2 linked regions of the Macaca mulatta genome follow. The protein of the gene in region 2 interacts with the protein of the main gene of each other region in a pairwise test. Links are inferred from orthologs where the notes say so. Each region holds a gene or a part of one and is shown on either strand. Other genes may lie near its edges.

Evidence for each region.
Region 1: the proteins of SDCBP2 (region 2) and FAM133A interact in binary tests that used the Homo sapiens proteins (3 or more experiments, as listed by UniProt). The two-hybrid records come from large-scale screens. The link is inferred for Macaca mulatta from reciprocal best matches to the Homo sapiens genes SDCBP2 and FAM133A.

The regions. Positions count from the first base shown.
Region 1 is NC_133426.1:99,944,318-99,948,708, forward strand, and holds the start of FAM133A (protein FAM133A), read left to right. Parts: upstream 1-1,472; 5' UTR 1,473-1,576; intron 1,577-1,983; 5' UTR 1,984-2,056; intron 2,057-4,391. Other genes in the region: NAP1L3 (nucleosome assembly protein 1-like 3), read right to left, coding at 1-609.
Region 2 is NC_133415.1:82,824,146-82,828,476, reverse strand, and holds the start of SDCBP2 (syntenin-2), read right to left. Parts: upstream 3,018-4,331; 5' UTR 2,874-3,017; intron 1-2,873.

The sequences.
Region 1 (4,391 bases), on a different chromosome or scaffold from region 2:
CTCTGGGTTTTCTTTAGGGGTTTCTTCTTCCTCACCCTCTAAGGGAGGCATTTCACTAGGGGTGTTATCCTGCACCTCCTCATCACTGCTGAACTCCTCATCCTCTGAATTCCATTCACATTCTTCTTCTGTAGGCTCGTATTCTGCATTGATGATTTGAAACCGCCTATCATATAGAGGCTTGTTGAGTTCAGCATATTTTCTTTCAAGATCATGAATTGCTTTTAAGAACAGGGTGTCTACCTTGTCACATTCTTCTTGAATGTTTCTAAGCGCTTGCACACGATTTCTAACTGCCTGAGGCAGCCTATCCACGAAATTTGTTCCCAAGGGGGCCCGCCGCGCCCTGCTGGAAGGCTCAGGTACCCTCTTCTTTCTATATAAGCGGCTGCGGCTGCTAGTGCTGCCGCTGCTGCTGCTGCTGCCGCTGCCGCTGCTGCTGCTGCTGCTGCCACTACTGCTGCTGCCGCTGCTGCTGCCACTAGTGCTGCTGCTAGAGCTACTGCTGTCAGATTCTTCCCCAGAATCACTAGTCGAGCTAGCCATCTCCTCTTCGGCAACCCCATGGGCGACGGGTTCCGAGACCATTTTAAAATCTGCTTCTGCCATCTTGCAAGCCTGAAAAACTCTACCGCGGAGACCGCGCGACCAGAGATGGGCAGAAAATGACTCACGGATGCTTGAGTGGCGGCGGCGGAGGCCCGGGCTGCGGAGGTGGCAGCGGCGATGGCAGCAGCGGCGCAGAGCGGAGCTGGAGCTGGGGATGCAGAGGCCGGCGCTGAGGTGGCAGCGGCAGTGGAGGCCTGGGCGACAGCGGTGGCGGCAAGGCCTCTCCCGGCTGCAGCTACACAGTGCCGAGATGTACCGCAGCCGAATGGCGCAGTATGAGACCCCGAGATCTCTTCTCGTTTTAGATCGCGAGCCCCCTCCCCTCGCAGTCAGACCTCCCGTTAATTTCGTTCCCAGTGTGCCTTTAGTTCGCTCCTCATTTGCTGGTCCACCTTAATTGACAAACCGTACGCCCAACGAACGGCCAAACGCCACTACTCCTGGCTCCGCCCACCTTCCCAGACGCTGCTCGCCGGCTGAGGTGCGACCCCCTGGAAGGTGTCCCCGAGCCCCCCAAAAAGTCTATATTTATAGTTTTATAATTAAAAGAGGAAAAAAAAGCGTAGACATGAGGTAAAAATACCAGCCATAGTTCCTAACAAGGGCAGAAGAGGCGTGTCTTCCTTCTCCCATCCGCCCATCCTGAATTCCCGTTTAGTTTGTCACGGGTCTCTTGACAAAAATCTGTAAAAGAAAAAAAAAAAAAAAATTGAATGAAAATGGTCCAAATGGCGTCATTGGGTAGTGTGACTGTGGACGATTTAAAAACAAAACGATTTTCTCTAAATATTCTATGAGCAGTATTTTTACACTGGATAAAAAAGGGGAGAGTCGGTTATTGGCAGAGGGGGGAGGGACTAGACAGCAGGCGTATTGCATTCCACGAAGCTGATTTAATAAGTGCTGTCTGTGATGTTTGGCAAGCCTGGTTTATATCCATCTACAAGGTTTGCGAACCCATGTTGCCGTGAGTCAGTTACACCATTTTTATTATATTTCTCTTTTTAGGCTGGCATATTATATACCCCAACCTTGCTGCTAACTTGCCACGTAGCCCTTCTCAATGCTTGCAACAACCTTGTAGATAAAACAATGAGTGTATTAAATGTTAGGTAGTATTGTTAAAAAGCAAATGATTTGCGTTATACTTTTGTGCAGCAGGTTTCAATTCCAAGAACAGTGGGATGGGAGGGGGAATTTGTGCTAATGAATGTGCATCTTCTGTCAGTGTATGCGATGTCATCTGCCACCAATTTCCTTCTAATGTTGTAAAATTCTAGCCATACTATAGTATGATTTACAAGTCCAGTAATATGTGAATAAACTTTTGCAAAATGAAGTTTAAAAACGGGTATTTGTTATTTTTATTTACAGGATTTTTTTTTTCTGCTACAGAACAACTACCTTGGTACAATAAAAAAGACGAGTATTTACTTTTCATTGAAAGGTAAGGATCATATTTAGCACATTTTAAAGAATGACAAAAATTACTCATCTCCATCTGAATAAAAGTTTACAGGATGCAGTCATTTAGAGATTTATTTTAGATAATAATCTTGATAATTCTATGGAAACAGGAAAATCCACAGAGGTAATTTGGCATACTAATGTAGACAATAGCCTACTTAACCACATTAACTATCTTAACCTGGTCATAGAATACAAGTTGTAAATTAAAATATGAAATATGATAAATTATTCATTTCAAATGAGGAACTGTATTAAAGTTAGATTAATCTTTATAGAATTTGTGCTTTGTCATGTAGTCACGTTTTTAAAAGTTATGAAATGCTTTTCTGTCTCATAAATGCATTTACTTTTATTGTATATCTCTAATTGTCAAAGTCTGTGAACATTGCAAAGATAAAACCTCAATACAGAAAATTCCAACAGTAGTAAAAACACACAATCTTAACCACCAAATGATAAGAATTACTAGCATTTTGATGCACTTCCTTCTAGAAATTTCCTTGTGCATATACATACCTGCCTATTTATGTATACTGCTTTATCTATGTGATACCATATTATGTTTTGTAGTCTTTTCATTTAATTTATCAGTTACTAATGGCTATATTTTCATGGCAAATGATCAACATCTTATTTTTAAATAAGTGCATATTCCATGGAAATAATTGCCTTAATTTATTTGAACAGATTCCTCTTATAGGGTGGCTATTTCTATACCATCTCTCCCCTTATATACATATTATTTTCCTGCTATAATAAAAGTGTCCCTGGATACCTAAAGCATATATTTCTATGCACTTCTGAAAATTGGTCATAAGATAAATTCCTAGAAATGAATGGCCTGGGAATGATCATTTCATATTATGGAATTATTATTGTATACATATTGCCAAACTCTCTGCAGAATGATTATCACAATTTACAGTTCCAACAGTGCATAAAGGTTCATTTTTTTTGTCATTCAGCTAATATATTTTTGTGCCTGTCGTATGCTGGGCAAATGTGGTAGAGAATTGTAGTATAATGGTGAATGAAACTTACTAAGTGCATATCCTTTCGCTGAATAATTTTAATCAAAGCATATGTTATAGAAACAATGATTTACATCAATGGTGTTATACCATAAATATTGTTCTGAGACTCACTATTTCTTTTTAAATTATGGAGATTTTACAAAAAGTATGCTCTTATGTTTTAAACTTTGTAGCATCAGGAATTAGTATTTTAGAGTGAGTCATGAGGTAGGGATCCAGATTTTTAAAATACTTATTTTTATTAGCTAGCTAATTCTTCTAGTACCATTTATTTGGTAATCTTTCTATCTCCTGCTTACTTGAAATGCTACTTTGATCACATTAAATAAATTGCTTGGGTCTGTTTCTAAATTCTTTTCTGATCCATTAGTTGCAAACAACTAATGAGTCGGTGTTAAGATAACTTTACATTTTGTGAAAATGATATGTGTTCATTGATAAAGTCAGACAATACATTGAAATACAAAGAAGAAATTAAAAGTAACTCAAAATAAAACTGAGAAGTAATCACTACTTACATTTACATTTGTAATCAACATCTCCAAATTAATTTATCAATATTAGTATTTGTATTTCTTAGATTAGTGGTAAGATTGTGTTTTCATATGTTTATGTTTATTTGAGAACTGTCTATTCATATTTTTTGTTTTCTACTGAATTAAGCAAGAAGTTAATCAATGGTGAAATCCTAAAGGTAAAATGATTTTGGCCTTGACTTACTTAAGACAACTATGATTTCTTCAGGAAATAATGCATGATATTGGGCAAATGTGACTAAATTTCATATTAAAATTGGTTGGGTTTTTTTTTTGGGGGGATGCTTGGGGGTTTTTTTGGATGCTTTTCAAGGATTACGGATAACTACTTAACCACTCACACTGATCCTGGAAAAGTTTGGAATGGAACATGGAGATGAAAAATAGAAAAAAGCTTACAAAAGCATCATATAAAAATAATGTATTAATCAACAATTGTGATTTTCAATTTGGAATTATTTTTTCCTAGATATAGGCAATGAAAATGTTGAAAGTAGATGATTTTTTCTAATCACAATTCTCTACTTTAATTGTGTATCCATAAGTATCTTGTAACACACTTTTATTTTTGTAGCTTTTTTTTGGTTGATTAGTTTATTTAATTTTATGTAGTAGGTATCTAAAATAAAATAAGCTTTTTCTTCATAATCAATTTAATTGCTGCATTATATCCTATTTGTTCTACTGTGAAATGTACATATTAGTTTTATCATATCATATGCTTATTTTTCTTAATAAGGTT
Region 2 (4,331 bases):
TTGTGGATCCCGTTTACCTCGCAGGTTATCCAAACTGGTCTCATAATTTTCCCCAGCTGTGCCGCGCCTCCACAGCAGTCCCACTAAATCCACCCATGGGCTATGTCAGAAATCTGGGAGTTATCCTCACCTCCCTTTCCCTTCTGAAGCCATACCTAATTCTTGCGCTCAAATTTCTGTGACCTGACTTCTGGTAAGGTTTCTGTTGTTACCACGTCGTTTCTCCACACATCATGAAATTCATTTATTCCAAACTACTTTAGGTTGAGTGCTAAAACTCAGCCTGCTAGTTCATGCCTCCATGCTTTTGCAGGTGCTATTCCCTCTGTCTTAAGTGTCATTCATGCCTTCTCTCTTTTCCTTGTTGTGAACTCTTCTTCCTCCAGTTCAAAGCTTTCCCCCACATGTACCCATGGAGATTAGCAAGCCTCCCTTTTCTAGACTACAGCATTTCTTCTATTTGCCTCTTCATCATTCATTCCACAAGTGTTTATTAATCACCTACTGTGAGCAAGGCCTTCTGCATTTCCTGGGTTGGATTTCTTTTGTGCGTGTTTGTTTGCTCATCTCCCTCACTGGTCAGGAAATGTCACTCATTTGTTAACCCCCAGTGCTGAGCACAGTGCCTGGCACACAACAGGCGTCCCATTACTATTTCTGAAAGGAGTGGAAAAGCAGGCACAGAGAGAAGAGAAAGCCTGATATCCTAAATATACAGTCTTTCTTCCCATGCCTGTCTGTGTTTGCAGGCAATAAGTAAAAAGTCTTTCGAAGAATAACCTGGGCCTGGAAAGGGAGAGAAACCACGACCCTAACGAGTTAGGTTGAAAGGCTGCCTGGCTCCTATAATCTGACAATGGAAGTTTGCTCAGTTCTGTGCTGATGGCTTCCCACAAGTAATTGGCTTCTCTGAAAGGAAAAGAACCCACCTAACCCCTCTCTCCCAGAGGAATTTTCCTCTCCCACAGCCCTTTCCAGATTTCCATCCCTGAGCTTCTGTACTTTTTGATATTATAAGCAATAACAACACCCACAGCAAACCAGTAGTTGGGCTTCGGAGATCAGCAGGGCTGACAAGGGGACCTCAGCCCCCATCTTTGAACTTAGAGTGAGAACACTCTGGAACACTTTGTTCCAAAGAGCTGAAGTGATGAGACTCCCACTTGTTCCTGTGGACAGCTCATCCATCCTTTACGAGACAGTGTGCGGGAGGGAAGCGTGGGTTAGAGTGTCAGAGGAATAGCTCCTGGAAGGCCAAATTAGCCCAGGGATATGGTGAGTCGGAATAGAAGAAGCTGTTGCTAGGCCACCAGCATGTCCCCGCTCCTCCTCTCGGGGCTGCACTGCCTGCTGGAGAAAAGGTGCGACTTCCTCATGAACCCAGGCCCAGGCAGGGCAGGGTTCAGACTGACTGCTTCTGACTTGTGAGAGCACAGCATAGTTAAATTCCTTTTGAATGTCATTTCTTCCTTTGTAATCTGTATAACAATAGTTGCATCACAGTTATCTGGAGACTGAAAGATTTTTAAAAAGAGATAAGGTGTATATGGAAAGCATTTAGCACAGTACCTAGCACATAATAGGCATTCAGTAAAAGTTAACTGTTTATTCATTGTTTCAACACTTACTTATTGAGCACCTACTAAGTCTGAGTACTGTTCTAGGTATCAGCAGTGAAGGAAAGAAGAATTGGTCCCCAAATGTACTTTCTTTGGGGGAGGAGCTGGATAAATAGGCTCTGTGACTTTGTGTGCTATATTAGATGGTGGGAGGCACTGGAGAGAAACAGCAGGATGGAGGGTCATGTCAGGAGGTTCCGAAACCTTGCTGGCGGGGTGGGGTGACATTTGAGGAAAGGCCTAACGGAGTGGGTACAGCCATTGCAGAGGCTCTTAGGTGGGAGTTGGTGTTGCGTTTAGAGAGCATCTAACCAGTGAGAAGCCGGTTGCGCAGAGAGGGAGTAAGGAGGAGTAGTGGAGAGGAGGCTGGAGAAGTGACAGGGGCCAGATCCTGGAGGGCCTGGAGGCCATGGTGAGGACTCTGGCATTTACTGTAGTGAGATGGGAGCCACTGGAGGATTTGGAGCAGCAGAGTGCCAAGGTACAAGGGTTATTTTGACAGGCCTCCTCTGGCTGATGTTTGGAGGATGGGCTACAGGGCAGGAGTGGGAGCAGGAGCCCAGGTGGGAAGTGATGGTGGTGGAATTGTCATGAGCTTGGGCCACTATATGTCGAAGCTGCCTGTCCAGTGCCTGCCCAGCCCATAGCAGGCTCGTTTTCTGCCCCATTTTCTGAGACCCTGCCGAGGAGGGCATGCACTGACTCCTGTGTCCAGTATGTCATTCCATGCTCCTGACTTTGTGGGCTATTTTCAGTCTCCAGATGAAGAAGCCAGTTCTTAGAAAGGTGAAGCCCCTGGCACAGTTCCCCAGCAGGTGTTTCAGTGCTGTAGCAGGAAGGTTTTTGATAGAAACAGCTTCAGGCCAGAGAAGGAGGCCTGGGCTGTGGATTCCTTGGGAGAAATGGGCTTTTTGCCTGCCTGCAGCCTCTGGTTTCAGCTGCAATTGGCCTTTCAAGGAGCAAAGTGTGGGTCTCATCTCCTTGAGCACAGTCATGGGCAGTCAGAAGGCACCGGGGGCCCTCATGATGTCTAGGTGAAGAAAATCACTCAGCCATCAATCAAACCTGGCCCAGGGCTAGGATCAGAAGAAGAAACCCCACTTTCACACTTGACTCCTGGAGTGAAGCACTTCAATATGAAGTTGCCTGGGAAGTCCCAAAAGGGAAGGGGCAGGGAGGGAAGGAGACAGGGTGAGGGCAGGTCTCACTCATCCCAGTCCCAGCCAGGATCAGGTCAAGGCCCCCAGCGCTTACCTGCAGGCCAGGTGCTGCTCCACGACCTTCTCCAGCCACTGCCGCTGCTGAATCTGTTTCCCTCCCTGGAAGATAGCCCTGTCTCAGCTGGCTTCCTGCTCTGGGAAGGGTGGTGCCCATCCCCTGTTCAGCTGACTCACCTTGGACTGGGATGGGCACAGGTGAGGGCTGTGGCTGGGTAAACAAGGCAGGTTGCCAGCCCAGAGGAGGCCTTTGGCCTTAGTCTAGATTTGGAGGTGGGATTAAGGCCCTCACAGCTGCTGTTCAGAAGTTTATGAACCAAGACTTGTTGGCCTTTTCTCAAATAGCTCTACATTTGGGTTGGACACCTAGTCCTGCTGATCGCGGAAAGCAGTTGACTAGAGGGTGGTTTGTGGTAGGTATCTAGGGGTCTAGGCCAGGATATTGAAAAGTGGTCATATCCTGTGACCCAGCATTTCTTCTGGGAATTTGTTACAGTGGAGTCACAGCGCCCATCCATCACTGCTGCTTCTAGTAAGGAAAACGTAGAAATCCCAAATGCCCATTTCTGTGGTCTGCTTAAATAAATCATTATCTGTGGAAGATCACAGAGCTATTAAAGTCATTTAAGGAAGAAGGTATGAGGAAATATTTCTGAGATTCTAGTGAGATGTTGAAAAATCAATATTGTGAATCTCCTCTTGCATTGTTTTCATTTTTTGTAAGGTGGATGTGTGTTGAAAGCAGTCTAAAATGCTGAGGATCTCTGGATGGTGGCGTTGAGGGTGAGATTTTCAGCTTGTACTTTTGTGTGTTCCAGGGTGGTTTTCTGTTTTGTTTGGTTTTTGTTTTTTAAGTTAGCATTTGCTCTGAATGCTCATGACTTTTGTAAGGGGGAAGCAATTAAGTTTGATTATTTTAACGGGAATTTAGATTGGTTGTCTCCTGGGAGTGGAACTAAGGAGCTGTGTGCTGAGGTGGAGATTTTTTTTTTAATGGCACATTTTTTGGTGTCTTAAATTTTGAAAAGTTTAAATGTACTACTTATTCCAAAAATAATTATATGAATTTGAACATAAAAGGAGGAAGAATTTAGTTTAGATCCTGATGGGTTTGGTTGGATGAGGGTGCCTGTCCCACTGGGTGCCTGGGCAGGGACGGGGGCCCCGTGTGCTGGCCAGTCCCATGAGGATTGACGGTGTACACACTCAGGGTGTGTCAGTATCTGGGTTGTTCTCTGGGCCAGGCAGGCCCACGTCACAGTCCCCATGAACCACCTGGCAGAGTTGAACTAGCCTTGAGCATCAGATCTTCTGCCTGCCTATGAAGAGCTTACAGCCCAGAGTCCCACACAGGAAACACACAATAGGAGCAATAACAAGAAAGACATTTGCCACTAATTCAGCACTTACTCCCAGAGAGCACAGAGATACTACCCCGGGCACTTTAAAGGCATTATCTCAATGGCTTCTCATGCCTTCCCTGCAGAGTAGGTGT